Linked DNA regions of Sus scrofa. The protein of the gene in region 1 interacts with the protein of each later gene in a pairwise test. Links are inferred from orthologs where the notes say so. Each region holds a gene or a part of one and is shown on either strand. Other genes may lie near its edges.

Region 1 (5,033 bases):
CAACCCTGTAGACATTTATGAAGCAACAGCTAAATGTGGAGGCGAGCCAGAGCTCAGGACCCAGAGAGGGTGGAGCTGGACACACTCCACCAGTTACCAGGCTGCTCCAAGCCTCTGGCATCTTCCTCTACAGGAAGTGATGATGACAGGACCCACATCTCTCACAGGGTGCCTAGAAGCATTACATGATACCAGGTAGGTCACCAGGTCACAGAGAACAGCAGGAGATTGTCTTAGTCCTACTTTCCAAGCATAGAGACTCCTACGTACCATGCTGGGCCAGGATCACCGCCTGGGGCTGTGGTACCCACAGGGGAAGGGAGACGGTGCCTGCACTGACTCCCTCGGCTACCCAGGGCTGTACCTGTAAAAGCTGGGGGTTCTCCTGGCCCAGCTGCTGGAGCAGGGCGGGCAGCAGTGCCGGGTTCTGCTGAATCACCTGCCGCATGTTCTGGAACTGGGGCTGGTCCCTCAGGAATTCCAGGGGGTTCTCTCCTGCTGACAGAAAAAAGGGGTCTGGTCAGACACCACCCAGGGCTGAAGTCGGGGGGATGGAGTGAGTCAGACGCCTCAAGTGCAGACACTCCACACGCACACTTCACACTCTACTCACCTGCTTCCGTAGGCGGCTGCTCCGATACTTGGCTCTCCTGGACAGAACCATGTTCTGGCTCGGGGCTCCCAGGAATTCCCTGTCAGGGATCCTATTTAGTTCAATGCAGACTGCCCACTGCCTTCCTCTTGCATGCTCAGCCCTGGCAGGAGACACATGAGGCCTCCACTCTGCCCTCTGCAGGCCCACCCCACCACTCCTGTCCAGGTTCCTGGAGGAAACCTTTCCTAGCTGGAACCATAAACCATGGGCTTTGGAGGGCAGGTTTTGATCACCCATCAGGTCACTGACACCCACATGCTCCCTTGAGGACTCCCCAGGAGGCTAGAGCCCCACCTCACCGTGAGCAGATACTCCACGGCTCGGTGGGGGTTGTTGTAGCTGGCTCTCAGGGCAGCCACGACCCGCTCCCGCTCATAGCCCATGGACGTGATCTCTGTCAGCATTGTCTCATACTCAGAGCCAGTCACTGTGGAAGGAGGAGCAAGGGCTGGGTCACCAAGGAGTGGGAAGGGCAGCTCCCGGGCCCTCCCACACCCACACAAGGCCCAGCTGATGGCTGGGGCACCCAGTCATCTCTGCTCTGGGGACCACCCACCCACCTAGCGTGGAGGCCGCGTCTTCCTCTCGCCCGCTGCTACCTGAAGAGGGAACAGAGCTGCAAATTCAAGAGAGAGAAATCGGACCCTGGCTTCTGGCGGCTTGCCCTCCCCGCAGGTGTGTGGAACCACGGACGTAGGCGCTGAAATGTGCTGGGAGGCCAGGGCCCAAGCTGAGGCTGCTGCTCCCTGCCTTACCCTGACACGGACTCCGGAGATGTCGTGGGGACCGATTCCTCCGATGGGCTCTTGTCCTCTCTGGCAGGAGATGGGGGGTGGGACATGCCTGAGGCAGGGGCCAATGGGAAGGATGTGGAAGACTCCGGGGCAGCAGTGGGTGAGGCCTCTGGGGGTACTGAGGTGCCTGGGCTAGTTTTGGCCTGTGAAACCCAGAAAAGGGAGCAGGCATCAGTATCCCTATCTAGCGCCACATCCCACCACAGCTCAGCCCCACCCTGTTCATGGTTAATCTCTCTTAGGCACACAGGCTCTTGGCCAGCTCCCAAGCTAATCCACCCACCCTCCCAACCAGCTACCTCACCTACCTTGGTCACCATGACGACCACAAAGTTCTTCTCATCAATTCGATAGTCCCTGATGGGGACATCGTCACTCAGGATCTTGCCAGCATAGATGAGTTTCTGTCCAGCCACGGGGAAGGCATCACGACCCTTCTCAGCTTCTATCTTCTCTTTTAGCACCTTCACCTGGAGAAAGGGGTACACAGTCATGGCAAACCCCAAGATTCTCTCTTCCCTTATAGTATAGGAGGAGAGGGGAGAAAACAAGCCCTGATGACTGAGAAGCTAAGCTTCATAATCAAGCATTCTAGGCTATCCCATCATTCAATGGAGTATTTACTGCACACTTCTATGTGCCAGGTGCAGTTTTAGGCACTGAGGACACAACAGAGAACAAAACTCAACAAACTCTGTTTTTGTAGAAATGACGCTTATTTGGGAGATGGAAGTCAGAAAATGTAAACACAATGTAATGAAAAACAGAAAAAAGGGGCGATAGGAGGGTTCCTCACTCCATGCTGCTGACAGTGGTTTTCAGTGGTAGAATCCTAAGTTTACAGTACTATTGTAAACATACATGTGTCACAAGTTTAAATCCTCATTGTAACTGGGTAAAAAAATTACCATTAGCCTCATTTTATGTCCAAGAAAAAAAGGCACAGATAGGTTGTTAACTAACTTGCCCAAAGGCAAACAGGCTGATGAGAAAATCTATTTCTCTCTCTATAAAAAGTGAACTTAAACATCTTCTTCATGAGATAAGTTGTGCGAATAATGCCAAATACGCATATTAGATTCGAAGTCTCTTCTCAGCTAAAAAGACAGCATAAGGTTTCGTCCATAGGCTCACTTGAGGCAAACCCCTACTGTTATTTGCTGTATGCGACTATGTCTACGTTCCTTAACTCCTAAATTTCCACATCTGTAAAACAAGAAGACTAAGTCCCCAAATGACAAGCCTACTTTGAAGATTTAGTAAGATAATACGAAAACGCTCAGTGACTGGTGAAGAACAAACACGGACCATTGAAACTCAGACCATTTATTATCTTTATCATCGTCGTTGCTGTCATCACCCGGCATCTCTTGGCCACTATTCGTAGATTCGGCCACCAACGTCCAGAGGAAACGCCTACAAAGCTGGGAACTAGGAGGCCCAGTCCCAGAGACAGCAGCACGACAGAAAATCTGAGCCTGCGGCTCCCGCGCCCCACGAGGGCGCTGACATTGGAGCCGGGGCCTGGCAGGCGCCCCGGGGGTGGGGCTTTGCCTGGAGATCGACACTAGAGCTCCACCCGAGCCACCAGGGCCTGGGTTGGGGACCATCGGGTAATCTGGAAAAGTAGGGCAGTTTGGGAGAATGGGCAGGGCCCGGCCCCGCGTCGTCTTCCCCGCGTCTCTCGTCGGGATCCCAGCCTCCCCCCGAACCCCTGGCACCCGTCGCTCCCGTTCCCAGGCTCAGGCTTGGTTCGCACCGTCTCATCAGGCTCCATGCGGATCTTGAAGGTCTGCTGTTGCAGCGTTTTGAGCGTGATGGTGACGGCCATGGTAGGACCCGAGCGACGCGGCGGCCCCGGGATCCTCACACAACATGCAACTCACGCCGCCGCCATCTTAGCGCCTAGCCGCGCCGCGCGCCGACCGCTTCCGGGGCAAACGGTGCGCGCGCCGACGACCAGGACACGTGACCTGCGCGCTGTGGGCCCCCCCCCCCCGCCGCCGCCATGGGCCTTCGTGAGCATGCGCACGAGAGCGGCCCTGAGTCAGGCGTACGCAGACCAACTTCTACTCAGTCGGCGTAGAGGGAGGTTTTCTCGCTTAACCATCACGTGGCTTCATGGGAGTGACGCCATCCCCGTTAGCGGTGACGTCATGAGGCCACAAAATGGCGCCGACGTCCAATTATCACGCCCATCAGTTTCCTTTTTTGTTGACGTTGAACAAAAATCTGCTTTGATACTTGTATCTCTACCGTAAAATCTTAGTTCATATTTTTTGCTCTTTCCAAATTAGTTTCATTCTAGTCTGGCCACCCTGACAGTACTCCTGTCTAACCCTGAAGGGACCTAGAAAGGATACTGAAAAGGTCACCAACAATTAAATGAAAATGCCAAACACGTTTGGCTGTGTAAACAGGCACACAGAGCCATTTTATGCCCTCATTTATTCTTTAGGAAGAGCCGGATTTTTGGAATTAATTTATACAGTTCTAGTTCCTGGGTCTCCCCCCTCTCTGCTGCTCCTTCCCTAACCACTATCTCCAACATGATCCGCAGTATGTAGAGTATGTAACTTCCAAGGCTTTCCTACACTGAATACAAAATTCTCTCCTTTCCCTGGATATGCTAATTGGGATGTTTCCCAGAAGGGTGGGGCTGGGCTGCAGGACACAGGAATGAAGCACAAAAGAGGCCTGTCCAAGTAACAAGGAAATGAAGCGCTGGTTGGCCAAAGGTGAAAAACGTGCTATGGCAGACTGGTTGGAGGTGATGGACTCCCCACCTCCTTCATATCCTGCTTCAGAACCTGATCTTTTCACCATTCCCATCCCAGTAGGACACAGTGCAGTCCCCTGCCACCTCACTCATTTCCCCAAATCTAACCAGGTCCTGCTGCTTGTCCCTTTACCACACACCCTGAACTAAGAAGCTTCCACACAAGAATAGGCCACCTCTTCCCTTCAAGAAGTTCAGATCCCAACTTGGCTACTGAACATCATGGGTAAGCTAGATACCACCTTCTGAAGATATTTTGACTAATGAAAGGTATTTATAGCTTTTAACACGGGCTGGTATTAAGAACAACGTGTTGAGGAGTGCCCTGGCAGCAAATTGAGCTAAGGATCCGGCACTGTCACTGCAGTGGCTTGGGTCACTGTTGTAGCACGGATTCGATCCCTGTCCCGGTGGAATCAGCATTAAAAAAAAAAAAAAAAAAGTGTTTATAAGAATTCCCGTTGTGGCTTAGGGGGTTAAAGACCCAACTGGTAACCATGAGGATGCAGGTTCAAAACCTGGCTTCACTCAGTGTGCTAAGGATCAGCGTTGCTGTGAGCCGCAGCATAGGTCAGATAGAGCTTGGATCTGGCATTGCTGTGGCTGTGATGTAGGCCCACAGCTGTAGCTCCAATTAGACCCCTAACCTGAGAACTTTCACATGCTGCACGTGCAGCCCTTAAAAAGTTAAAAAAAAAAAAAGGCAAATGTTTAAAACTTTTGCTTGAGAAGATGGACACATATGGACCAATATAAAACAGTTTGTATGAGATAGTGGCTAAGGTATGGTTTCAAAGCCCTGTCC
Region 2 (5,212 bases), on another chromosome or scaffold:
GCTGTCAAGCCCCAGGATTGGAGGGGACCAACAACGAAGCCCAGGGTGGGAGGGAACAGGATAGGCCAGAGGTAGGGTCTTGGATCTTATGGAAGAGAGTTGTGTTACCAAGAATGAGGCATGGCCAGGGGCGCAAAACATGAGAGGTTGGTACTGGGATATGAAGGAGAGATAAGGAAGATGGGAAAGGCCAGGCCAGACATCCTGAGACAAAGGTTGATGACCTAGCTGACCTGTGGAAGTCCTCAATGCAGTGGATCTGGCTGGTGGCATCCACAGTGAAGGGGATGCCATCGAGGCCGCGGTGGCACACCACACAAGTGAAGCAGCCAGGGTGATAGGCCTTCCCCATGGCCCGCAGAATCCGGTCCAGGATGGGCTGGGAACAGGTGGAGCACTTCTCCAGGGTGGCCTGTCAGGAAGGAGAGCAGGAAGGTCAGGGCTGGGGTGACCCATGGCAGCCCTTACAGGCATCCTGCCAGCTCCCCCACCTATTTATGTAGCCCCCTGCATGTGATTCAGTTAAAGGTGGCCTTGAACAGGTATGCGTGCAAATCCTAGCACTGCAGCTTCCCCAGACAAGATATTTAAGCTCTCAGACCTTCAGTTTCCTTCAGGAGTAACAGCTGCCTCACCAGGGCATTGTGGGGATTCAGCACATTCCCCTAAACCGAAAATAAATGCCTCACTCTTACAGGGGAATGTTGTCCTTTCTCTCCAGCAACCAGTATACAGCTACTTATTTCATCCATGCCTTTTTCTTTATTAGTTTTAGTTCTCCTGCTTCGAGCCTTATTCTTTGGGGCTTGGACACCTAGTTCCCACTCTGGATGGAAGCCCCCTGCTTCCTGCTGCTGACTCCATCTGCCACCACCCCCCGCCAGCCCCCACCACTCACCACATAGCAGCTCTCACAATACGCTCTCCTCTCCACGGCATAGAAATGCTGGCCCCGGAGATGGGCCCGGCACGTAGAACAGACAAAGCAGCCAACGTGAAAGACACGGTCCAGGGCCACAACCCCGGCCCCATCCCCAACCACATCTTCTCCGCAGCCACCACACCGGCCTGGGGACGGGATGGGTCAGGGTCAACCATAGACTGGGAAGCCAGACCCACTGTCTACCTGACCTCCCCCCACCCCCTGCCCGGGGTGTGTGGCGGGGGGCAGCTCACCGAAGTACTCCCCACTGGGCGGGTGGTTCATGTCCTGCACCAGCTTCTTGGTCAGCCTCTCAAGTTCCTCCTCGGGAGGCTGGCTCAGGGGGACCTGGGAGGTGAGAATCAGGGGTTCAATCCTACCTCTCCCTCCCAATACTGTCACCGAGAGTGATCAGGCAATTCCACCCAAAAGCTCACAGGAGAACACCCCAGCCCAGGGGCCAGGGGTGTGCCTCTGGGAGCCAGTGTGCAGATCTAGTCCCCTCCCTCCTTTATTTCCTGACCTGCCCCCCGCCCCCAGGGAATCCAGAGCTTGAAAACTGGAACATCAACCCCCACCCCCACCCCACCCAGTCAGCATCCAACTGTCTTTGAGGACCCCAAATCCCAGGGCCCAGGGCTTACCTGGGGCCCGTACCCGCCTCCTCTTCCTCCCGGAGGGCCGGAGACTCCGGCAGCCTCCTCTTTACCCCCTGGCCCTGGCTCACGGTGGCTCCTGTAGCCAGCCCCCCAGACTTCACCTCGGCCTGGGAGAGGAAAGTGGGGGCCGGGGAGGGGCCCCGAGGCCTGAGGGGCCCCCCGCCTGGGGGGGCCACAGCCTCTCACTGGTTGTGCCACCTTCACTTGCACAGGGAAGGCAGGGCCGGCGGGGGTGCTGGCCGTAGCATAGGAGGCCGGCGTGGGGCCGCCATAGGAGGCCGCTGGGAGTGGTGTGGGAGGAACACTCCCTCCATTCGGCTTCAGGGAGCCAGGGCCTGAGCGGTAGGCAGGGAGCTGATGGGGCTCATAAGCCTGGAGAGAAGCACAGACCAGAAGGCATGAGCTGGGCCCAATCCAGAACACACATCTGTGGAACCCCTGAACCCTGTGTCTGTGGCACCCAGGTAAGCACTGGTTTTGACAAGGGCCCGTCCTTGAGTGGCTGGCAACCTAGTACGTTTTGGTGGCCCAGCTTCCTCCTCGCTGGTGGGTGCATCCCCCATGTGGAGGGAGAAGAGGAGTGAGAATACAGAGCAGGAACCAGGTTGCGGGGGAGGGGTGGGGGACAAGGACAGGGAGGGACAGGAGCGGGGAGTCACCTGCCGGTCAGGCCGCCGTGGGGCGTGACCCCGACCCCCGTCCAACTCAGCCAACATGCTGGTCAGGGAATCTATCTCAGCATCCAGACTTCCTGGGCGCAAGGCCCCCCTGTCCGGGGGGAGCCCCTGGAGATAGAGCAAAAGCAGGGAGAATGCAACTCATATGGCCTCTTCTCCTGCCCTAAGTCCCCCCCACACCCCCTAATCGCGGTGCTCACCTGTGAGCGTTGGGGTGCTCCATGGCACCCCACCCAGGCCAGGCCCGGATCCTCCGGTCCCCCAGGGGCCTGGTAACACTGCTCAGATGGGAGGGGGCAAAAATTGACCCTGGGGTGGGACTGGAGTGCTGGGGTGAGGGAAGAGAGAGCCAAGGTGGGGATGGGGAAGGAGAGGAGGGTGACACTTGTGGAGGCCACCGGTCTTGGGTCCCTCTTCACCCCTCTCCCCCCGCATCTGGGGTCCGAGAATGGGGCAGGAGGCAGTGAGGGCTGGGAGAGGGCGAGGGCGGGGGCGCGGCGGGTTCCAGCCGGGCTTGGGGAAGGGGCGACAGGGGCAGGCTCAGCGGGAGGCAAGAGCAGCAGGGCAGAGTTGAGTGTTGGTGGCCCGGTGGCCTCCGCACCGCACTGGGGCTGCCTTACCTGCTCCGTGGGCTGGCGGCGGCCCGGAGGCGCCTCGGGGGAGCGCTCTCCCCTGAGGGGCTCTGGCGGGCTCCGGCTGCTTCGGGGGGAGCCAGGTGGGCCCGGACATGGTCTGGAATGGGGGACTCCAGACAGCGGTCAGGGCCCCACGGAGCCCAGGGCTCTGACTTTGACCCCTTCTTCCCCCCGACACCTCGCTTGGGACTCCAGGACAGAAACTTTTTCTGGCTTTTTTTTTTCCCCTTCCTCCCCAATTTTGGGGACGGCCACGCCCCCGATGACGTCATCGCATTCCTGGGGGAGGGTCACGTGGCCCCCTAGGCCCTAAACTGCCGTCCCTCCCCTAGTCGGCCCCCTCCTGCGAGCCGGGGCGGCTTTCCTCCAGAGCGTGGGCCCGGGGGGTGGGGGTGGGAGGCTCAGGCAGCCTCCTTTAACACGGGGCTCTTGTGCCCCAAGTCCGCACGTGGCCCCCTTGCGCTGGGATGCTCCAGTGCCCCTCCCCGCATACAGATTCGTCCCGCATTCTGTCCCCCCTACCGGCTCCCTCCAGAAACGCTCGGCCAGCACCTAGTGTTTTGGTCTTTTATTCACATTCAGCAGTTAGAAAAATAAAACGGAACAAAAACATCACAACCTCAAGGGTGAGGAGTCTACTGGGCAAGGGGCGGGGAGACTGAGGTAGCCTAGAGTCACAAGCGGAGACCCAGCCCCGTCAAGGCACCAGTGAAGGGAGGGAGGCCAGCGTGGGGGAGGGCTGCTGACTTCTCGCCAGTGGTGGCCGCCGGCTCAGCTGCCCTGGGCACAGCGAGGACCCTCTCCCAAAGACCAGGTTCCCCTAATACCTCCACCAGGGTCCGAGTCCCAAGTACAAGGAGGGCAAGAGGCAGCACCTCCCCTCCTCAACCCGCCAAGCAAAGTGGGCCACTCGACCTGGACACTCTCTACTAGGAACCGGCATCAGAGATCAGTGCAAGTGACAGGGGTGATGCCATGAATGAGCAGCGTGGGGCCCAGGTCATGGCTCAGAATTTCCAGCAGCGCCAGGTAGCGAGGGTAGCGAGAGGGATCAGCAGGCGGCCGAGGCAGGTACAAGAACGTGAGGGCGGTGGTGGGCCCTTCCTCGCCATCCCCACCCTCAGGCCCACCAGGCCCTCCTCCTCTGCCGCGCCCCTGCTGGGCCCGAACCAGGGCGTTGGCGCTGCGTGCCAGGGCCTCTGCCTCTGCGTCTCCGCGCCTGCCATTCACAAAGTCCCCCTCCTCCTCCTCCTCAGGCTCCTCGGACCCAGCCCCCTCACCCCACACAACCTCCTGCACCTCTGCCCGGATCCTCAGCTGGCTCAGCAGTGCCCGGAGCCGCCCCTCGGCTGCCCCTGGGGCCTCCCGAGGCCCCAGGCACAAGAAGATCCGGAGGCGGGCAGTGTGCCAAGCAGGCACCATGCCCAAGATGGTGGCCATCTGCAGCAGGAAGAGGCCGCAGACGTCCACGTAGCCAGGTCCACCCCGGGGCCGCAGCAGGTTGAGGGGCCACACGTCCACATGATGTGGCTGAGAGGTACCCCCGGAACCCCGGCTCAGTCGCTCAGGGGGCAGGGCCCCACAAGCCCGGGCAAGAACCACATTCTTATTCATCTTCAGGGCGTCTGCCACAGTGGCCACATAGTCCTGGGGACTGAGAGCCCGGGGGCTCCCAGGAGCCCGGGGTGGAGGGAACAGGGTGCTCAGGGCTGGGGACCCGCCCTCCTGGGTGGCATCAGCAGGCTCAGAGAAAGCTGGATCTGTCAGGAAGTGGTCCTGGGGCGCAGCATCATCGTAGAAACCCAGGACCAGTGTGTTGGGCTTCATGCCACCTGGGGGCAGAGAGGGATAGGCAGGAAGGAGCCCCAAGGAATCAGTCACAGGCTGAGTTCACACCATACTAACAGGCACCCACTCCCACCCTCTGGCAGCGACGTGTCAGCCAGCAGGTATGACATTTGCACAGTGCTTGGCCTCTTAAGGCAACATTATGCACATTTGCGTAATGACTTTGAGTTTTCCCAAACACTTTCACAGGCATTTATCTTCATGACTAATCTCCCCCACTTAAATTGACAGAGTTCGCCTTAGGATTCTTTTAACTAAGGAGCACTTCCAGGCGTCATGAGGCAGTAGGATGCATTTCACTCCAGGCTTTAAGCTGCACACCTTTTTTGTGATGGGAGATGAGAGTCTGACTCCACCGGACAGAAGGGACCCCCTGATTAGTCAAGCTCATGGCCTAGATCCCCAGGGAGACAGCGCTCAGACCCTGCTAGGGGAGGATGAAGCTCGGCACTGGGGCTGCACGATCTGTTT
Region 3 (4,467 bases), on another chromosome or scaffold:
TAAGAAGACTTTTTAAAAATTATAACTTCTTTATTTCCTTTGTGATAGAGACAGGGCACCCCCTACGTCCAGAAAGAGCAACCACTCTTTATTCTGTAGTTCAGTGATAGAAGCAGGACTTTTGGACATCTTGTTCTCTGGGACAGGATTTTTTTTTTTTTTTTAATTATCCTAATCTCTGAAAAGGATGTCGTGTTGGACATTGACTTCAAGCTGAGACAGTCTTCAAGAATGAGTGGATGAGTAGAGGAACTCGGGCATTGTACATTTAAGGGAATCAGCAGCCAGCCTGTTTAAAAGTACTGTGATTTCAAACAGTCCTACAAGCTTTGTGTGTGTGTCATGTTCTGTTGCATCATCTTAGTTTGGGCCATCTACTAATGCTATTTCCATATCGGAGCCCACGGAAAGGAATATTTTCCATTAACTAATCTTCATCAACATTTGATTCTACTCTGCATTCCAACTCTGATTTTTTTCCCCTATTAAATCTGTGGCTTTTATTTAAATCAAGTCTGTTGCGTCACCATGTTGTACAGTAGAAAAAAAAATAATGTATTGGGGAAATAAAAAAAAAATCAAGTCTGTTGATTTACATAAGGACTATCTTTTCTTATATTGTCAAGAGATCTATAATTAACAGTGGATCCTAAATAGTCTTGCAAAAAAATTAAATAACATTCAGTGGATGCTGAATAGTCTTGCAAAAAAATTAAATTGTGACAAAAGGAATTTGTTGGTAAAGGATTATTTTAAAGGGAATTTAAAGGTTTACATTGCTAATTGAAAGATACGCTTAGTAATTGTAAATTTAAGTAGAAAAACAGCTTGGTTAAATTTGTGAGCCTTTTGAAGAAGTAATTTGGCTTCAAGGTTTCCTTGAAATTCTCAGGTATAAGTCATGTGGTTAATTTTTGTATTAGAAACTAACCTTGAAAACAAATCTTTTCCTATGTGCCCAAGAAAACTAATAGATGAGCACCTAATAATAATAGACATTGTGCTCAAAAGAAACTTAATATGCTGCTCCCTAATTCTTTGTACTCCTCTTATGTGATTTTTAGCTAGAGTCTGATCAGCAGTAATAGTATTTCTTGACATAAACGTAATCCAAATTTTTTTTTTTTTTCAGATAATGGATTCATACCTGATTCACTTCTAGAAGATGTGATGAAAGCATTGGACCTGGTTTCAGATCCTGAATAGTAAGCTCACAGGAAGTGTTATGTAACCAATTGATTTTTTTTTTAATGTAAAACATTATACACACATTATTGCCTTTTTTCAAAATCTAAATTGCATATATGAAGCCTAACACTTTATAAGAAGTGAAGATTTAGGAGGCAATCAGACCAATCAGTATTACAGCAGACTTGACATAGTTAAAATGAGCTTCCTTTTCCACTCTGTGCTTATGGTCTCGCTTTAAAAAATGATGCTAAAAATATAAATACCTTTTTCTATGTTAAATATATTTTTTCTCACTGCAAAACTTTTTCCATATTTTGAAATTTTGTGCATGCCTTCAGTACCTTCAGTTCGAGTAGTGAGAGTTTTGTAGACTGTTTATATCACTAGTCATCCTGCTTAAATAACCAGCAGGCCTCTGCTTTCAGTCTTAAAGACAATGAACATTCTGAACCTTTATAAGTGGCCGCAGTATATTACAGAATATAGTTTTCAGTATTGCCTATCATGAGTATCTGTCATTGTCTTCATTCTGTTCCATTTTTTACATTATACCTTTAACTTTTTCCATAAATTTAGGGTCTTTATTGTCCATGGGAAAATAGCCCTCTGGTTAAGTGGATACACCTGTTGATCAAACAGAAAAGTTAGAAATCAGCTATGAACTATATTAGCTTTTCCTTTTTCTGCATAGTTTATTTTTCCTCCTGAAAGTGTATCTGACAATGAACAAACTTTAGCTTATAAACATTTCAGGAAAGGATACAGCAAAAAGCAACATAAGACATAGTCGTATACATAGTTTTTAGAACTTGATCCTATTGTGTTTTTAAATAGCCGGGGTGTATTTTCTTTTCTTTTCTTTTTTTTTTTTTTAAAGTCTGATATACATATAAACATTTACAAACTAATCACATCTGAATTAATATGTCTCCGTCTCTACTTACCGCTATGATGTTATCCTTTCTTAGTAAGCATAATTGCTGATTCCAACTCACAGAGGAGAAATTTGGGAGAGACAGGTGACCTAGTTAATAAATGGTATAATAGTAACTACCATATTTCTTCTCACCTCATCTCCAAGTGGAGACCTTCTTGTTTACATTGCTCTAATATGCAAAAAGGACTGAACTCGGGTAATTTTGGTTACTAACAGTTCTTAAGATGGGAAGGAGGAAGAAGGAAAAGTTAGGTTTTCTTTCAAAACTCTTACATAGATGGCCATACATCATCTACTTAATTTTCCCATTTCATTAGACTACATGAATGATAAGCTTGGCGCAGCTGAGTTAGTGAAATTGTTTCTCTAGAAGTAGCTGAAAGGTTGGAACAAGTTACTCACTCCATCCTTTGGTCTCGTCGAGTGTATAATATGTGATGGCCCATAAACCAACAGGGTCATATCAACGATTGATAAATTTAATTAAATATAATATGACCTTGCCTTCATTTGTTTCATGTCATAACCTTCTGGCATTACTCAGACCCACTGCAGTGTCACATCTTTGGTATATTGCACAGATGACTTGAACAATGCAGGGGTTGAGGTCACCAACCCTTGGGCAGACAAAAATCCATGTGTAACTTTTGACTCCCCCAAAACTTAAGTACTAATAGCCTACTGTTGACCGGAGACCTTACTGATAACACACATTTTGTATGTTATATGTATTATATAGTGTTTTCTTAAAGTAACTTAAATGTTTATAGGAAAATCATGAGGAAGCAAAAATATATTTATGGTACCTATATGTATTTACTGGGGAAAAAATCCACATATAAATAGACCCAGGAGGTTCAAATCCATGTTATTCAAGAGTCAACTGCATAATAAGGTATATTTAACCTGACAGTTAATAACAGGGAGAATGAACATTTTCTGAAAAGATCATTTCCATTTTTGAAGCTCTTTGATTCAGTCCACTTTTCTCTGCCTTCTTTCTAGTCACACATAGCACTTTTCAGTAACCTTGTCCACACCTAATACCGAAGCTATACAGAGCACTGTTCACTTCAGGCTCCTCCTGGAATAATACAGTACATTTCCACTTATTGAAATTCATATACCTTAGCCCTTGAGGATTATCTTACTTTTTAACTATCAATTTACACTGTAAGCATTTTAAGCCTCCATCTCATTTGGTTCTTGAAAGTAAGCTCTTTAGGAGATGTTTTTAATTACCTAATGTACCCACTGCCTTTAACACTGTTTCTTTTTCTTCTTAAACATTTTGTTTAAGTTAAATGCCTCATTTGATAGTTAAATTCAAGCGTACCTACGAAGCAAAGAGAATGTTCCTTTGGGAAGTTATAAGCCTGAGTTTTTAAGTTATTTTACCTAATAAGGAACAATATTCCAAAGTCATCATTGTAATTTAAATTTTAAATAGTAACAGATTAGTCTAGTTTAAAAATAACCAAGTTTTGGCAAATTAGATGTCATTCCTATGTATTTGTCATTAAGGATCTAAAAAGAACAGCTCTTAGGACTTTTGGCAGTCAAATGTGTTAGAGTACTAGTAATTTAATCATGAAAGAAGAAAAATAAGCTTTTTTTTCTTTGGTATCCACTGTTTCTTTTTTCTCTCCCCACAGTATAAATCTCATGAAGAATAAATTAGATCCAGAAGGGTTAGGAATCATACTATTGGGTCCTTTTCTTCAAGAATTTTTTCCTGATCAGGTAACATAGATGAAGAAATATCTTTATTGTTTTGTGCTGTTGAGATGATCATATTACGATTGTTTCAGCATTTTTTTCTACTAATTTAAAATGTTCCTACATCCAGATACAAAACTAAGAAAGTGAAATTATCATGTGAATACTTTCCCCTGACAGAGAGGCTGGGGGGGGAGGGTACCTGTGTTCCAAAATTCAGTAAGTCACAACTTTGATTGGGGCACGGGGGCGGTGGAAGAGAGTATATAAACCAGTGTAGACACACTGATACGGTTCTTCTAAAGGAAGATTCAAATCCATAGGTACATGGAGTGAAAAAAGACAAGTGTCGCTTAGTCCACTCCCACCCCTCTTTTCCTCCTCTCCAGTAACTGTTGTTAATAGATAGGAAGTTCTAGGAGGATACGTTCCAAAGTACTAGGAGAGGAGGCAGAGGAGCCTGTTGTATGAGTATGAACTCGTGAAGTGCTCCTGAGTTTCAGAGAAGTGAGTGAATGGAGCTGAGTAAAAAAGGAAAAGCTTCACGTGGAGCCGTGCTGTTTGATGTCGGGACACATCTTCCACAGGCTGTGACAGGAGCTCAGTTAAAAGAATCTATG
Region 4 (5,132 bases), on another chromosome or scaffold:
TCAAATATTTACTGAAACCCACTCTGTGCAAAGAGCTGCTCTAAGCCTTAGGGTGAAACAAAATAAGCACAACACTGGCCTTTATGAAACTTCTATTTCATTCAACTCCGAAGGATATAGTTAATGTAAATAGTATCCAATTCACTTCACTCTACAAATTAATTTGGTCCCTGGGAGGAAGCCTTCAATATTGCTGCCCTAAATAATCCTTATTTGGAAGCTGAATCTATGAATCAAATTTCTGACCTGTAAGGCTCCTACTCTTAAGTAAATATCAAGCACAAAGGCTGAAGAGACATGTTCAAGACCAAAATAATGACAAGATTTAACTATAGCCAATCTGCCACCAACTCCACCTCACCTCTATTAGCTTAAACCTCAGAAAAGCAGCTCTCTGCAGTTTCACTACATCTCAACTCTCTGCTATGGCCAAACTTGAGCAATCAAGCAAAGAACACATTAGAGGAAAAGATAGTCACTGCTTTAAGTTACACTGTGACAAGTTACTGTGTAGGTGAACAAAAGACCTAAGAGTGCTGTGCTTTTTTTTTTTTTTTTTTTTTTTAGATTATTACTAATCATACATCCTTCAGAAACAGAATAAAAAGAATCTTGAAAAATAGGAAACTGTTCCAACTACCGGAATATAGTTCTTCATATAAAGCTAATATTACACATGAGCACACAACACTCAAATTTTTTTTTAAGGAGAGCATAAAATAGGCTAAAATTTTATGCAATATGCACCAGACACGTCTGGTTTTAATGATCATTCATAAAGTTTCTAATTTAAAAACAAGGAGTTTCACTTTTGTTTCTTCTAAAGTTCGCTTCCTAGTTACCAGCTTGAAGTCCACCTCCTAGTCACTAGCTTGGTGGATTCAAAACTATCAATTTATTTGAAGTAGATGGTTTAAAGTATTTGGACCTATATAAGTATTTTTAATTATTTCTAATATAAGTAGCAAAATAATAGTATATTAATATGGAAAGCAAACACACTAAATGTTGCTTTAAAAAAAATACCATATGCAAGTATAAAAACGAATGCAATTATACTGCTCTTAAAAAATGTGCACAATATCAATGAGATGATCTGACAGACACACACTAAAAACAGCATCATAATGGTAATATTTTGGACTAACAACCACTCCTTTTGTGTAAGGAAAGGACTCATTAAACTAGGAAACTGGACTTGATGGCCAAGATCACTTTCAGTAATTTGACTCTATTCACAACTTTATGCATACAGCGCTCAAGCAGACAGATCTGCTTATCTAATTCTATGCTAAAGAAGTATTTTAGTCCAAAATCAATGTAATAAATTCACAAACTTCTTGCTATTGTTCAAATTTAAGATACAAAAAATATGAGCTATATTTTCCACTATGAAACAAAAAGGCCTGAATATTCAACACCGAAGAGAACCATAAACAGAAACAACACCAAACCTCTTAAATATTGCTTAGTATATATATGACCAATAAGATCCTCCATTAAGTATTAACACTTTGTCATATTCTCAACATCGGGAAAACTAAAATTTAAGGCATTCAAAACAGAATAGAGGGGATTCGGAGACACTGTTCACGAAATTCACAGTAAATAAACTGCAGTCTGTAATAATCTGCTAAATTTACCAGTAACAGTTAACTAACACACAAGAGTTCCAAAGACAACTTTCCCAAAGTGCCTAAAATAACAATGCACTATCCTTGCTTTCCAAAATTCTTAAGCATCTTCAATTACCTCAAGTACTATCATGAAATTCTAAAAATAATCTCAAAGCAAAAATTCAGCAAGCTGTGAGTACACACAGTGTTCATTTTAGGACAGCAGGCTTTATTCTAAAATCAAGCACAGATAGGATATAGCTATGCCCCAACTACAACAGGGTGGGGCATCCACTCCTCTTCCAGAAAAACCAGATACAGGTTTTAGTAGCTACTCCCAGTAAACCCGGGTTACCCCCATAATTTCAAGTCGAGTAAAGCAATGTTTTCCTTTTGCCCAAAACGCTTTTCACACAAATGATCAAAAAAAAAAAAAATTAAGTCATAGCCAACTACTCTTCTGGATATGGTGCAAGCCATGATAGTGCATTTGAGATTCGGAAAGCAAAATCTGGGGGGGGGAAGCATCTCTCACTGCTTACTGTAGAAGATCTGAAGCTTCACAAACCCACATTTTTTTTTAACTTAAGTGAGTGACCATTTGAATGTGTTACAAGGTCAAACTTAGGGGACAAACGATTCCTGGACTAAACATGGCCAGTTTCTATATTCAGGGAGAAAAAAAGAAAAAAAGAAACATAACAAAACAAAGAAAAAGAAAAAGAAAAAAAGAAAAAAGGGAACGAACCAAACCCTCTACTTTTACATTGAATCCACCTGGTTAACGTACCTGCCCCGCCAGGCAGGCAATTCAATTCTGGTGGAGACCTTTTTGCAAAATAGCAGGCCTGGAATGCTCCTCCCTTGAAAATAAAAACTGTGTTCGGAAAGGGTGACAACCTGGCTATTTCTTCTTTTTTAAAGAGGAGGAAGATAAAGTTTAATTAAGAAGTCAGAGAGAGGAGTGTAGGAATGCGAGGTCGCTCTCAATAAACACCCGGCACCGTCTGTTACAGGAAAACAATCGGCGAGAAGGAACTGGAGTGAAACCCGCTAACTACACCTCGCTTTCCACACACAGCCCGGAACTGGGCGCTTCGCCCCCAAGAAGGGTAGGGCGGCGGGGAGCGGGGAGCGGGGGGGACGCCGGGGCAGCCGAGGCCGGGGCGGCGGCGAGGGAGACCGGGGAGCTCCCAGCCGAGGCGGGCCAGGCGGCACGTCGGAAGGAGGAGCCGGGCTGGGCCGCGCCGGCTCGCGGGCTCGCCTCACCTTCTGCGCCGCGCTCTGCTGCAGCACGTTCTGCTCCACGGTCATGGCCCCCGCGGCGCCGGCGGCGACACAGGCAACGGGGTCCGGCTCCTCGTGCCTCCGCCGGCCCTGGCAGCCGCGCTCCGCCGAGCTCCAGGGAGCGGCGCGGACGGCGGGGGAAAACAGCGCCCCCGCCAGCCAGGCGCGAAGGCGATGGCGGCCGGCGTGCGCGGGCACCGGGGGTGGCGGCGAGGTGCGGACAGGGAGGGCCACGGCGGCGGCCCCACGACTCCGCGCGGCCCGCCTTAGCGCGGCTCGTCGGCCCCGGCCCGGGCCATGAGCTGGCGGCCGACGCTGGGGCGCGGGAGGGCGCAAGCAAGCCCGGACGCGTCACGGGCGCGCGCGCGCGCGCTCCTTCACTGGCGGCTCGCGGGCCACTGCGGGGAAGGGAGAGGGGACAGAGGGAGCGGCCGGCCGGAATGGCGCTGTCCTCCTCCCTCCGCGACTCCTCCTCCCTTCCCCTCCCCCAGCCGCCGTCACCGCCCCCGCCCGGCAGCTCCTCCCCCGCCGAGCCCCGCCCGCCGGCCGCCCTAACCCTACATTGTGACCCACAGGGCGGCGGGCGGGGGCGGGGCCGCCCGGGAGCACGCCCCCATCACGCCGCTCCCGGGGCGGGGCGGGGAAACGCCACGCGGGCCGGGCCTCGGAGCTGCCCCTGCGGCAGGTTGCGCGACGCCTTCCCTTGACTCTGCAAAGCTTCCAGCCGAGGCCCGAGGGCAGCGTTCGTCTCTGTGCCCTGGGTTTGTCGGACTGCTGGGTTTCTGAACTCCTCCAGGACCAAACGTTTTCCTGCTAGCCCCGTAACGTCCCCCAAACGCCTTCTGTCCGGAATCCTGGCTCCTTTCTGTATCTCCAGTCTTCTCCCCAGGCCTTTCTAGGAATTTCACTAGCAGTAAACTTGCCCGTAGGGAAAAGTCAAGTGTAATTTAAGCAAAAGGCTGTCAGAAGTCTTTATGCTAGAATGTACATTTCTCCTTAAGTAATCATTATATAAATGAATATTGATATTCTTTGTCTACTTCTTTCATTCAATTATGTGCCAGTCACTGCTAGGCTCTGAGAAATAAGGTTCATTTTCCGATAATTTGATGTAAATGAAATATAGTCACTGTCTAGATGGTACATCATCTAATGTCCCAGTTGCCAAGCAAATTATCAATTAAACACCCTGCTTGGAATACCTGACTATATATGGAATTGTATGGAAAACCTACTGTTAAGAAAGCAATTTCTAGTCTCAAAAATATCTTGTTTCACTAGCTAATGTGGGGATAGGATATGAGGGTGCAGCAGTGGAAGGGAAAGAATAATCAGTGCATATTGTCACAAATATAATACACAAATATGCAAATGTAGGTATAATTTTTAATTTGAAAGAAAAGCAAGTTTGGCACATGATCACTGAAATATTATCTGGTTATATTTAATAATCATGGATCACAGTAACTCCTAAGCTTTTGTAATCAATCTCTACACTTTACAAACTGGCTTTACTCTGCACCTTAGATGTTTTCAACCACCTTTTGAGGTCTTTCCCTTGCATCTTCATGTTTATTTGCTCATTTGATCTTGACAGATTACAAATTTTATTTTATTGCTGTCTTACATTTCTGCCAGAAGAATTTGGAAAGTTGTGAAATGGCTGGAAACCCAGAATTTTAGGAATAATGTAACAGTTCTGACAGAATGAACAAAATTTTTATGAGAACACTGAGACCCAAAGAGGGTGACTTGTGAATGAATGCATACTAGAGTTCATTTTCTCCTCATTTATTGATGAATATTCTTTCCAACATATCAACTTTGCTTCTTTGTTTTATAGATTTTTAAAAATCTGATTCACAATATTTGAATGTAAGTTAAATTTAACATTAAAAAAAAACTAGTACTGTGGTTTAAAAAAGATATTGCCAGATACAAAAGTTAATTTTCTAAAATTTGGCAATGAATGTTCCTCTGAGTTAGATTTTTTTAGTTCCACACACAAAAAAATTATCTTACCAGTGATTATTGTATAGTTATCAAATAAAGCTCTTTATAGAGTAGTTTGTACTTGCCCACTTTGATCATTCATTCCTAGATTATTTGTGATGGTTTCCCAGTTTCTTTTTTTTAAAATCTTAATTATGGTTTTGTAGAACTTTGAGAAGTAAATTTCAAGTTCCCCTGTAGATTTGTTTGGTTTTGGGTGTTTTTTTTTTTTTTTTT

What was found.
Region 2: the proteins of RAD23A (region 1) and TRIP6 interact in binary tests that used the Homo sapiens proteins (3 or more experiments, as listed by UniProt). The two-hybrid records come from large-scale screens. The link is inferred for Sus scrofa from reciprocal best matches to the Homo sapiens genes RAD23A and TRIP6.
Region 3: the proteins of RAD23A (region 1) and MINDY3 interact in binary tests that used the Homo sapiens proteins (3 or more experiments, as listed by UniProt). The two-hybrid records come from large-scale screens. The link is inferred for Sus scrofa from reciprocal best matches to the Homo sapiens genes RAD23A and MINDY3.
Region 4: the proteins of RAD23A (region 1) and USP25 interact in binary tests that used the Homo sapiens proteins (3 or more experiments, as listed by UniProt). The link is inferred for Sus scrofa from reciprocal best matches to the Homo sapiens genes RAD23A and USP25.

Annotation. Positions count from the first base shown.
Region 1 is NC_010444.4:66,092,963-66,097,995, forward strand, and holds the start of RAD23A (UV excision repair protein RAD23 homolog A), read right to left. Parts: upstream 3,516-5,033; 5' UTR 3,281-3,515; coding exon 3,209-3,280; intron 1,920-3,208; coding exon 1,758-1,919; intron 1,593-1,757; coding exon 1,411-1,592; intron 1,272-1,410; coding exon 1,216-1,271; intron 1,083-1,215; coding exon 955-1,082; intron 693-954; coding exon 614-692; intron 499-613; coding exon 365-498; intron 1-364. UniProt on the Homo sapiens protein: Multiubiquitin chain receptor involved in modulation of proteasomal degradation. Binds to 'Lys-48'-linked polyubiquitin chains in a length-dependent manner and with a lower affinity to 'Lys-63'-linked polyubiquitin chains.
Region 2 is NC_010445.4:8,711,155-8,716,366, reverse strand, and holds the start of TRIP6 (thyroid receptor-interacting protein 6), read right to left. Parts: upstream 3,147-5,212; 5' UTR 2,988-3,146; coding exon 2,879-2,987; intron 2,587-2,878; coding exon 2,459-2,586; intron 2,367-2,458; coding exon 2,241-2,366; intron 1,954-2,240; coding exon 1,567-1,953; intron 1,271-1,566; coding exon 1,177-1,270; intron 1,069-1,176; coding exon 899-1,068; intron 413-898; coding exon 234-412; intron 1-233. Other genes in the region: SLC12A9 (solute carrier family 12 member 9), read right to left, coding at 3,836-4,725. UniProt on the Homo sapiens protein: Relays signals from the cell surface to the nucleus to weaken adherens junction and promote actin cytoskeleton reorganization and cell invasiveness. Involved in lysophosphatidic acid-induced cell adhesion and migration.
Region 3 is NC_010452.4:46,052,619-46,057,085, forward strand, and holds part of MINDY3 (ubiquitin carboxyl-terminal hydrolase MINDY-3), read left to right. Parts: intron 1-1,132; coding exon 1,133-1,205; intron 1,206-3,783; coding exon 3,784-3,871; intron 3,872-4,467. UniProt on the Homo sapiens protein: Hydrolase that can remove 'Lys-48'-linked conjugated ubiquitin from proteins.
Region 4 is NC_010455.5:180,569,261-180,574,392, reverse strand, and holds the start of USP25 (ubiquitin carboxyl-terminal hydrolase 25), read right to left. Parts: upstream 3,274-5,132; 5' UTR 2,931-3,273; coding exon 2,886-2,930; intron 1-2,885. UniProt on the Homo sapiens protein: Deubiquitinating enzyme that hydrolyzes ubiquitin moieties conjugated to substrates and thus, functions in various biological processes including inflammation and immune response.